Coturnix japonica: one gene and its partners. The protein of the gene in region 3 interacts with the protein of the main gene of each other region in a biochemical or structural test. Links are inferred from orthologs where the notes say so. Each region holds a gene or a part of one and is shown on either strand. Other genes may lie near its edges.

The links. The genes of interacting proteins can lie anywhere in the genome.
Region 1: the proteins of ERBB2 (region 3) and FER form a complex in vitro, tested with the Homo sapiens proteins (2 studies listed by BioGRID and IntAct, with this or other methods). The link is inferred for Coturnix japonica from reciprocal best matches to the Homo sapiens genes ERBB2 and FER.
Region 2: the proteins of ERBB2 (region 3) and ABL2 form a complex in vitro, tested with the Homo sapiens proteins (3 studies listed by BioGRID and IntAct, with this or other methods). The link is inferred for Coturnix japonica from reciprocal best matches to the Homo sapiens genes ERBB2 and ABL2.

Annotation. Positions count from the first base shown.
Region 1 is NC_029547.1:42,306,623-42,310,271, reverse strand, and holds part of FER (tyrosine-protein kinase Fer), read left to right. Parts: intron 1-848; coding exon 849-1,022; intron 1,023-3,649. UniProt on the Homo sapiens protein: Tyrosine-protein kinase that acts downstream of cell surface receptors for growth factors and plays a role in the regulation of the actin cytoskeleton, microtubule assembly, lamellipodia formation, cell adhesion, cell migration and chemotaxis.
Region 2 is NC_029523.1:5,530,348-5,533,996, forward strand, and holds part of ABL2 (tyrosine-protein kinase ABL2), read right to left. Parts: intron 3,003-3,649; coding exon 2,829-3,002; intron 1,747-2,828; coding exon 56-1,746; 3' UTR 1-55. UniProt on the Homo sapiens protein: Non-receptor tyrosine-protein kinase that plays an ABL1-overlapping role in key processes linked to cell growth and survival such as cytoskeleton remodeling in response to extracellular stimuli, cell motility and adhesion and receptor endocytosis.
Region 3 is NC_029542.1:3,928,501-3,932,149, forward strand, and holds the end of ERBB2 (receptor tyrosine-protein kinase erbB-2), read left to right. Parts: intron 1-84; coding exon 85-223; intron 224-292; coding exon 293-415; intron 416-489; coding exon 490-588; intron 589-658; coding exon 659-844; intron 845-912; coding exon 913-1,068; intron 1,069-1,142; coding exon 1,143-1,218; intron 1,219-1,291; coding exon 1,292-1,438; intron 1,439-1,512; coding exon 1,513-1,610; intron 1,611-1,683; coding exon 1,684-1,854; intron 1,855-1,978; coding exon 1,979-2,234; intron 2,235-2,306; coding exon 2,307-2,650; 3' UTR 2,651-3,186; downstream 3,187-3,649. UniProt on the Homo sapiens protein: Protein tyrosine kinase that is part of several cell surface receptor complexes, but that apparently needs a coreceptor for ligand binding. Essential component of a neuregulin-receptor complex, although neuregulins do not interact with it alone.

The sequences.
Region 1 (3,649 bases), on a different chromosome or scaffold from region 3:
TTTCACCTTTGAGAGTGCTCTGATGAACTTTTCTATAACCACTCTTCTCATACAGATTTTTGATGTTATTTTTGTTGTACACAGCTTTGCGTTATGGTTTATGAAGTCATTTGGAAAGTTCTCTGTAAATGGGGAGATAAACACTTTTCAGACATAACCAGTAATCTTCAGTCTCTGGACTTATTTAAAGCAGTTATGCCAGCAGTTGCAAGAGTGCTTATCGGCTAAAGGAAATATTAAAGATCGCTTAGTGTGTGCAGGAATTAACTGTCTTTCATTTTGTTCTCTAAATTCCACTCTGGCTATTATTGCATACAGACAGAAATATTTGTATCTGTATGTATGTGTGCATGTGTATGTAAGTACATGCTCGTATAAACATAGACATGTGTGTTTGCGTATGACAAAAAAAAAAAGACTGGTGTGTAAACCAGGGCAAAGAAGTCATGTATTAGCCAGAGAAACTGTGGTTTCATGTGGTGGGAAAACAGAGTGCAGGAATGTGCTTGTCAGATGTGCTGAGGATGTGATCTGGAAAAAGTTGTAGAGCTTTCACGAGTGCTCAGAAGTGCAAAGCCTACCTGGTGGAGTGGCTGTCATCTGATGCTCCATTTTAGTCTCTGATCCTTTTTTTATGAGTTTACGAGTAAGTTGACTACACAGTTTTGTTACAGGAGAAGCAATTTTTCTAGAAGATTGCAAGTGAATTTGGGAAGTTCAGTTTTTTTATTTTTTTATTTTTTATTTTTTTTACTGAAAGCATCTTTTAGCAGGGTTCGTTTCCATTGTTTGGTTATTTGTAAGCCAGAATAAATGACTCTTCTGATTCTGTTTATTTCTTTTTACAGTCTTGGTTGCTTGTAGTACAACAAACAGAACAGCTGAGCAAAATAATGAAGACACACGCAGAAGATCTAAATTCTGGCCCTTTACATAGGCTTACCATGATGATCAAGGACAAGCAGCAAGTCAAGAAGAGTTACATAGGTGTTCATCAACAAATTGAAGCAGAGATGTACAAGGTATTTTATCAGATGGTCTTTATAGATTTCATGAAATTTTGTGTACTTAATTGTTTTAGATTTTCTTTTTTTGTTTGTTTGTTTGTTTTTTGTTTGTTTGCTTGTTTGTTTTTTGCTGTTGTAAAAGTTGTATCTGGACTGCCTAGTTCAAATTTTAATAAATTCCTACATGTTCTCTTTCTCCTTCTGCCCGACAAGGCAGAGAGGGAAGTCCTTCTGTATGAATTGGTTTGGTCAGTTAGTGTAGGAAATCCTCCTAGATGATTCTGTGTGACAATTCTCTGTTCCATCTTTTTTACTTCTCTCATTTTTCTGTAAACATCCACTGAAAGCTTTTATTATTGAACGATTCTGGCAGCTTGGACTGTTTTGGGTGGGAATGGGATTGTAATAGTAATTCTAAAGTATAAGTCAATTGTAAACCAAATATTAAGGTGGTAGGTGGAGCTCTTCAGGACCCTTTCTTTCTATTGTCAGTTGTGTCGGTGATATCGACAGTACTGTGTCTAGTCAGTGAAGCTGACAGCGATCCCAGTTTAACACAGGCGCACTGGGGGAAGATTAACAGCAAATGTGAAGAAACAGATTGGTAGTCTAAAAGGTCTCATGGGAAGAGAGGTATTTTTTTCTTTTAGCAGAGATTAGGAGATCTGGAGTAGCATAAAATATAACACATGAGTAATATAGTACAAATATGGCAGACTAGTGAGAAAAAGATTCTAGGGCAGATAATGAGAATAACCTTACTCTAAAACTAAGCATATATCACGTTAAATCTTTTGGCTTTAATAGGTCTGCTTCCATAATCTCTTGTGATTTTGGCTTCTTCCCTGGGCATTAACTGCGGGAAGTACATCCTTTTTAATTCATGATTGGTAGAGACTATCTTATCTGATAGAATTTCCAATCGAAGTAATCACGGGCACTTACAGAACAGTGAATCTGGAAATGCTCAGGATCAAAGGTGGAGAAAAAGTGAAGTGATAAACTTACAGAGAATTTGAGAAATTGAAAAAGAAAGAAAATACAATAAAGAGATGAAGGATAGCAGAAACAAGATTGCTGGGTATTCATATATACTTTTAAAAAAGCCTGTATGAAACATGTGTTGTTTTTTTTTGTTTTTTTTTTTTTCCTTTTAAGTTCACCCTGATAAAATGCTCTTTTTAAAAGAAAGGCAGTAAAACTTTTTCAACAAAATATAAAGTAGATCAAGTACTCCCCAAGTATTTGATTGCAGGCTATACTGATTTTAATCATAGGGTGCACAAAGTGCATGGTCGTGCGAGTTTTTTTCCATCCTAATGAATAAACTTGCACTGATTTTGTATGCCTTCTCTCCCCACTGCCTCCTTCTGCCTTACTGGCTTTCCTAAGAAGCATTTGGATAACATTTTGGTTAGATATAGTATGTTCTTTCTTTGTTAGCTGAAATTATTTATTCAGAGGCTCTGTGTCAATGGAACGCTTCCAGAATGGTTCCCAGAAGTCCCAAACACTTTCTGTGTTCTGTGGCATTAGATCCATTTCCATCATATGTGGTAAGAAAGTACTTAAAACTTCCCAGTTATTGGATAACTACATTATCCAAAACTTGTAGAGAATATTGTCTTTACATTTCTCATAATCTTCGGGGTATCTGGTAAAGAGCTGTTTGCCCTCTCATGTGGGCCCTTCTTTCTGTTCTAGAGACCTGTACAATGAGGAATTTTATTTTTGATGAAATTGTTGAGGGTAATGAAAGGCATGTTTTTTAATAAATCTTGAAGTTTATTTCAGTTCCTTTTGAGATATTATGTATTTTTTTTTTCTTTGTGATTTTTAAGGGGAAAAGTTTGAGAGATAGCACTAGTTAAGAGGGCAAATATTGTGTAAATGTAAATCAGGATTAGGATAATCTTTATCCACTTCAGCTGCTTAAGAGTAAATTGAGGATGGAGGTGCTTTGTTCTTCTCTGTTGGTGGAAGACTACATTATGATATTAATTTTTCTGGACCTTAAAGTTATTACAAAGGCTTTGTAGTATTGATGGGCTAATTTAATTTCCAGTTTTCTGTTAGATATATATGTATATGTATTATATGTATATGCTAGATATATATGTATATATTAATTGTGTTCACTGCTTGCTAACGGTGTTCTTTTGTCCATCGCTTAAGGTAAGTGTACAATAAAGGTTATTTCTCCTTTAGTCAATAATAACAGTAGTTGTGGATGATTTCACAGTACAAGTAAGTATGAGATGAGGATATGGGACAAATAGTTCACAATAATTCTTATCTTTGAATTGATCCTTTGCACACATGCCACAGAAGTAGGAACTATATGTAACATCATGTTAGCTCTTGAGGGGGTTTGCCTCAGTCTTCAAATTTTGCTCGACAGTCAGAATAATGGTACCTGGGCCTTACCTCACAAAGAAAGGAGGGAATGTGAATGCCAGTTTTCTTCATGCCAGTTTTTCTGTAGAACAGACTTCTTTTCCTATGCAGTGTGACACGTGCTTTCATTAGATTAAGTTTCTCTTCCATGATAGCCCATTGTGAGAATATATTGCTTTGTCAAAGATTTTACATTTCTTTAATATTTATGTCAACTTCGTGGTGTTGTAGTGGCTAGTTTGTAA
Region 2 (3,649 bases), on a different chromosome or scaffold from region 3:
AAAAAGCCCCCCCACCCCACCCCGGGTGTATTTCTCTTACCCAGATTGACAGTAGCTACCTTTGCACCACATCGCTGATTTCTTGGACGCACGACAATAAGTTATTAAGGACGGGGTTTGCCCCAGGGATGCCAGCAGCTGTTGAGGACACCTGCAGTTCCTGCAGGCTGAGTTCCAGTTTGCTCACGGCTTCCCGGAAGGCAAATTTGTTGCGTGTATGCGGAATGCAGTCCACGTAGCCTGAGCAGTAATCCAACAGCTGATGCCCCGTGTCCACCAGCTGGCTGTTTGGTGTGGGCTCAGCGATGGCACTCGAGAGGAGGTCGGCGCACTCCAGCAACGCTTCCTTGCTGATTTTGTCTGCTGGGATTTTCTCGGTTGCCTGTTTGGTCTTTCTTAACGCTACCTTTGCACCAGCTGTGCCGTTGGCCATTTTCACTGGGGAGGTGGAAGATGACGACAGAGGCACTTGAGGCGGAGGCATCGCGGGCCTCCCAGATTTCCCACCGACAGGTGCTGCTGCTGCTGCTGCCTTCTTGCTCCCTTCACTTGACTCGTGCTGCGCTCCCGCCGCGTTGCTTAGCTCTTCTGCTGCATCCGAGCAGGCAGCCGGCTGCTGGAGGAGCCTCGTCACTGGTGGCGGAGGCGGAGCACACTTTGGTTTTACCCGTCTGGGCCGGTCCCTGTCGCCGGAAGAAGTGACCTGATGCTCAGATAAGAGCTTAAATTTATTACCCTGAGAGTCTGTGCCAATAAGCTGCACATCTGCTGGAGTGTGTTTCAGAGTGGGTGAGATTAGGACTGGCACTTTGTGGTTATGAGTGGTTGGAAGTATTGCTGCAGCCTTTACCGGAGAGGACCACCCCGCTCTCTCGCCATCCTCGAGGGCCCCTTGCCGTGGGACGCTGTTTTTTTCTTTGCTTTTAGGAGTTGCTGCTAGCCCTGCGATCTCCTTTTCCTCTGAACCGGAGGGGGTTCGGAAAGGGAGAGCTGTGGCACCCCTTGCCAAGAGTTTTGCTTTTGGTCTTTCTCTGGTCAAAGCGGAACCTTCTTCAAACCTTTTGGGCAGCAGGTCGTTTGCCCTCCCTGTGCTCTCATCAGGCTGAGAGGAGGTGGACACTGTCCGTTCCAGCTGGATTTTTGACCTCTGGGAATTTCTGGGAAGGGTCATTGCCATCCTATCCTGCTCTGGAAGCCCTGAGGACATGGAAGATGTAGAGTTTGACCTTGGAAAAGGCTTCGATGCTTCCTCATTGCCAGTGGGCTTTCCTGGTCGTAGACCCAGTGTCTTTTTAATCAAGCGCGGTGTAAAGAAACCTGTGATGCCAGACCACCCACCACCAGTGCTCACACCCCCACCGCTGCTGGTACCAGTGCCATCATCGTTGTAGAAGGTCCGCTGCACAAAGCTCCCACCGTAGCACTTGGGTGGTGCCAGGTTTGTGTCCTGCTGCGTGGGAGCAAAAGCGAACCCATCCACGTGCTGCAATGAAGCAACAGATGAAAAATTACCCGTTAACTCGTATTTCTTGTGGGGCTGATTCTCCATCTCCCGGAAGGAGCTACTGCGCTTGGGAGGCGTGGGAGCATTCCTCTTCTTCATGAAGGAGCTGAAGAAGCCACCTTTCCTGTCCCTGGTGAAAGTGGTCTCTTTGGCATCCTCCAGCAGGCTGCTGGGTGACTTGTCCCTCTGCTTGTGAGGCAGCGCGGGAGACCCGCTTGTTGGCTGTGTGCTTCTGATCAAACCTAGGAAGAAACAAGAAAGAATCCACAAAATCCATTTCCATTTCCACCTCCCTGTCCTGCAGCAGGCTCTAAGGGCCCAACATTTCCTTTACACAGGATCTGCAGAGAAAGACTGAGAGAGGAAGGTGGCACTTGTATTTCTGCGCTGGTCTGCTTTCTTTTTTAACACTGTACATGTGTGACCTGGCTGTTGTCTGGGGAGGCAGATTAGAAGGTCAGAAGGAAGTGAAGCTGCTCTTTTCTCTCAGTTTCTTACCCCCTTGCTGCAGTTCTTTTCTCCTTCCCCAGACACCGCAAAGTATAAGGGAAAATCTCATGCTGTCAGTTGTCAGTTTCAGTTTGAAAGTCGTTATCTTTAAAATACAGTTAAATTGAATTTTAAAGAAAGAAATGCAATGGGATGTACTGAAAGGATGCTGCAAACAGCCCTCAAGACACAGCTGCTCAAAGCACCAGCCTGGAATACTTTGGCTGGATGGGAGTTCACTTGAGTGCCTGCTTATGAAAAGCTGAAGAAAGCTGAATCCCCACATACACGTATGCCACAGAACTGCTTCATGTCCTGAGAGCAGAGTGGAGAAGTCTACTTGACCCAAAGAATTGTGCCTGTACAGACACCATCTCAGTTGTAAGGAGCAGATCCTCTGCCTCCTCAGGAATGAGAAGTGACACCTGTACTGTGCCCAGGCTCCCACCCCACTCTACCATTCTGTCACTGAAGAACAAGACCATGCAGGACTCCTCCCCATGAGCCATTTCATCCCTCAGCTCCCTCAGGGAGCAAATCTGCCATCATTCAGGTGTCTCTGCCTCACTAATCCAAGAAGAGTATCCTCAGCCCTGTCTCTCCTATCGCAGTAATCTAAATCCTGCAGTCAGGCCACAAACTGAAAGAAGCCAACACCATTAATCATTACCTTGACTAGAACGTGACATTTTACAAGCCATCCTGGCAGGACACTTGGTTGAAAGATCTCCAGCTGGTGGATGTTCTGTTCCCTTCTGCTTGTCTGACAATTGACACTGGGGGCAGATCTACCCCAGAACACACGGCCTCAGTGTGAGTGCCCTCATGCTCATACCTGGTGCAGAGCTGGATGCCGAATGCTCCAGGGTATCCTGTGTTCCTTCAATGTTCTCCTTGTTCTCTGCCTGTTTCTTCAGTGTTCTTGTCTTGGAGGGAAGCATGGGCAGCCGGGGCAGGTAAGGAACAATGGATGAGGAGGAGGCTGTTCTTCCAAGCTCCTCTGCTACCTCTGTAAGGAGGAACAGTAAGAGGAATGGTTGGAACAAATCCAGCAGCAGAAGAAAATAAAATATGGATCTCTACTGTAGTCCCAGACCAGCAAGAAGACATGACTGAGAATGCAAGCAGGTTGTGAATTTAGCTTTATGCCAACCCAGAGGTGCTTGGGGTAAACCATGTTTTACAAACAGAATTCTAACTTACATCTTTGTAAATCCAGCCAAAAAACGGTGGTAGGATCTGTACAAGTGAGGGTTTGGTATATATCCAGCTCTCTGCTGGGTTAAGGTTGCTCAAGAGCTGTACTTCACACTGAATGCATTTTCTTCCCTTTCTAAATAAGGTGCCTCTTGTTAATTGCCCCAGAGTTGAGTCTTTTCTGACTCTGGACCTAAGCTGCTTTGAGGCAAAACACTGCGTATCTCTATTAGCAATGAAGATTTCACGTTTCCTCCCCAGTACCAACACGGAGTATGTGATTTAAAAGCACTAACAAAAATCCTCCTGGACAGCCCCAGGTTGTTGTTTGTGTGGGTCCCTTGATGTGCCTGTTACAGATCCTCCCTGGTTGAATTTCACCTGGTGTGATTTTGCTATAGCAGGGAAGTGCGTGGATTGGCTTCATAGTTGAGAGATGCTGAAGCAATTGTGCTCATT
Region 3 (3,649 bases):
TACCACCGTGGGTACCCCCCTCCCATAGGGGAGCATCAGGGGGTGACCCCATCCCCACATCCCCTGTCACCTCCCGTCCTGCAGCCAGGTGACATCCATCATTGCTGGTGTGGTGGGGGCTCTGCTGGTCGTCGTCCTTCTGCTCATCACCGTCGTCTGCGTCAAGCGCCGGCGGCAGCAGGAGAGGAAACACACCATGAGGCGGCTGCTGCAGGAGACTGAGGTGGGGGGGCTGGATGACCCTGGGGGGGGCTCAGAGTGTTGTCCCTCCTCACCCACTTGTCCCTCGCAGCTGGTGGAGCCGCTGACGCCCAGCGGGGCCCTCCCCAACCAAGCACAGATGCGCATCCTCAAGGAGACGGAGCTGAAGAAAGTGAAGGTTTTGGGCTCCGGCGCTTTCGGCACTGTCTATAAGGTGAGGGGTGGGAGGCACAGTCAGTGGGATGGCACCATCTGTGTCCTCACTCACCGCCCCCCCACCCCCCATAGGGCATCTGGATCCCCGATGGGGAGAGCGTGAAGATCCCGGTGGCCATCAAGGTGTTGCGGGAGAACACATCACCCAAAGCCAACAAGGAGATCCTGGATGTGAGTGCAGGGGAGGTGGGCACGGGGCTGGGGAGTCGGTGCCAACCTGACCTATCTGTGCTGCCTGCAGGAAGCCTATGTGATGGCCGGGGTGGGCAGCCCCTACGTGTCGAGGCTGCTGGGCATCTGCCTGACCTCCACGGTGCAGCTGGTGACGCAGCTGATGCCCTACGGCTGCTTGTTGGACTATGTGAGGGAGAACAAAGACCGCATCGGATCCCAGGACCTGCTCAACTGGTGTGTGCAGATCGCCAAGGTAAGAGAGGGGGCTGCTGAGGGGCTGTGGGGGGGATGTAGATGTGGGGCTTAACGCCTGCTGCCCAGGGGATGAGCTACCTGGAGGAGGTGAGGCTGGTGCACCGTGACCTGGCTGCTCGCAACGTCCTGGTCAAGAGCCCCAACCATGTCAAAATCACCGACTTCGGGCTGGCACGGCTGCTGGATATCGATGAGACCGAGTACCACGCAGATGGGGGCAAGGTGGGACATGGGGACGGGGCAACAGGGAGCGCGGTGTCCCCTGAGGGTCCCGCTCACTCCTCCCACCCACCCAGGTCCCCATCAAGTGGATGGCGTTGGAGTCCATCCTGCGCCGGCGCTTCACCCACCAGAGCGATGTCTGGAGCTACGGTGCGTCCCTATGGTGGCTGTGGGGGGCAGGGGGTCCCAAACCAGCACTTACCCCACATCCCCATGTCCTCAGGTGTCACCGTGTGGGAGCTGATGACCTTCGGGGCGAAACCTTACGATGGGATCCCGGCACGAGAGATCCCCGACCTGCTGGAGAAAGGCGAGCGGCTGCCGCAGCCGCCCATCTGTACCATCGATGTCTATATGATCATGGTGAAATGTGAGTGGGGGGGACATGGGGACGTGGGGGCCAGGACCCCAACGCCGCCCTCACGGTGCTCGGCTCTGCCCCAGGCTGGATGATCGACTCCGAGTGCCGGCCCAAGTTCCGTGAGCTGGTCACCGAGTTCTCCCGCATGGCCCGCGACCCCCAGCGCTTTGTGGTCATCCAGGTAATGGGGTCTCAGGGGGGTCTCGCCTTCAGCATTGCCCCAACGGGCACTGACAGCCCCCCCTGACCCCCAGAACGACATGATCGGGCTGCCCAGCAACATGGACAGCACCTTCTACCGGGCGCTGCTGGAGGAGGAGGACATGGACGACCTGGTGGATGCTGAGGAATACCTGGTCCCTCACCAGGGCTTCTTCAGTGCTGAGACCTCCACCGCGTACCGCAGCCGTATCTCCTCCACGCGGGTAAGGGCTGACCTGGGGCATCGTGCTGCTGCAGGGCGCACAGGGTGCAAGTTCTCTAATGCCACCCACAGACCCTATAGACCCCACAGCACCGTGCCCGACTCCGTGCCCTTTGCCTCCTCAGAGCACAGCAGAGACCCCAGCTGACACGACAGAGGGGGAGGAATCAGCCGCCTTCCCCTTCCCACCGCAGAACCTGGTGGAGGGGTCAGAGTGCCCCGTGTCGGAGGCTCTGGAGGTGGATGTTGGGGCCAAGGGAGCCCTGCCGAGCCCCCCAGCCACACGGTACAGTGAGGACCCCACCGCGCTGCCGGGGGATGAGAGTGAAGGTCTGGACCCTGAGGGCTTCACCACCCCAGCCCCACATACCACTATGCCAGGTAGGGCAATATAGGACCCTGGGGAGGGGGGCAAGGACCCTGTTTGGCTGCTGACATCCCTTTTCCCTGCAGAGTACGTGAATCAGGCTGGGGAGCTGCCGTCACCCCCCCGGCTCCCCTGTGCACCACCATCCCCACCAGACAAGCCCAAGGGCCACCAAGGCAAGAACGGGCTCATCAAGGACACCAAGCATCCCTTCCTGGGGCCCTTTGGCCACGCCGTGGAGAACCCCGAGTACCTGGCCCCCCCGGGGCTGCCGGTCCCCACAGCCTTCAGCCAGGCCTTCGACAACCCCTACTACTGGAACCAGGACCCCCCCAAAGCTGGGAGCCCTGAGGGTGGGCCCAGCTCCACGCCAGCAGCTGAGAACCCGGAGTACCTGGGTTTGGCTGAGCCTGAGGACGTGGCTGTGTAGGGCAGGGCCACATACGGACCCCCCCCTTTCACCGAGGCAGCTTGGGGAGGGACGGCACGAGGCCGGCGATGGATGTGGGGGCAGGACTGTCCCCAATCATGGGGGTGCCCTATACTGCAGGAGAGCATAGAGCACTGTGAGACGGCGCAGCAGCACAGGGGGGGGCACAGAGGACCCCCAAAAGGAGCCCCAAAGCCCCACTGAGATGGATGCTCCAACCCCACACGGTTCCTGGAGGAAGAAGAGCAGCATCAACAGGACCGGGAGCCCCATCACCCTGCTCCCCATCACCATACACCTATATACACCTGTATACACCCTGGATACACCTGGACCACGCTGCTGCTGTCCCAGAGCCCCCCACCACCCCTGTGCCCCCAGCCCCCTCCCCACCGGCGCCCAGCAGCGCTGGACACATTGACTTGCACTGAGCAGGTGGACACGGGGCTGCCTGGGCTCCTGCTGGGTTCCCGTTAAGCTGACAGTGTCACCTGGATGTATATTTCATCATTGTAGATGGTTTTTTTTCTACTCCACTTTGTCTGCGTGGTTTGCTCCCATCTCCTCCATCTGCTGCTCTCACTGCAGGGAAAGCCCTGATAGCCAAGAATGGGGCAGCTGCCCTAATCCTGCTTTCATTGCCTGGATCCCCCCCATGCTCTGCAGGGACACAGGGGAAGAGGAGCCACGTTTACCTCCATCCTTTATTCAGCGCTGGGCCCACAGACAGTACATCATAAATAGGGGATGGGCACCAATAGGGGATGGGCACCATTCTGCCACGCTGCCCTGGGCTCAGCTGCCCCAAGGGCAGAGTCATGATGTGGGGAGGGGGAGAGCCGGGAGCCTGGGAACGGGGCAGCAGGGGAAGCTCGTGGCTGTTCAATGAACCCTGGGGCTGTGGGGATGGAGCCAAGCAGGGGTTCCTATAACCAGCCAGTCCCTGCTGCCCTCGTAGCTGTTTAAACAGTGACCAGAGGAGCTGGAATCATTAACAAA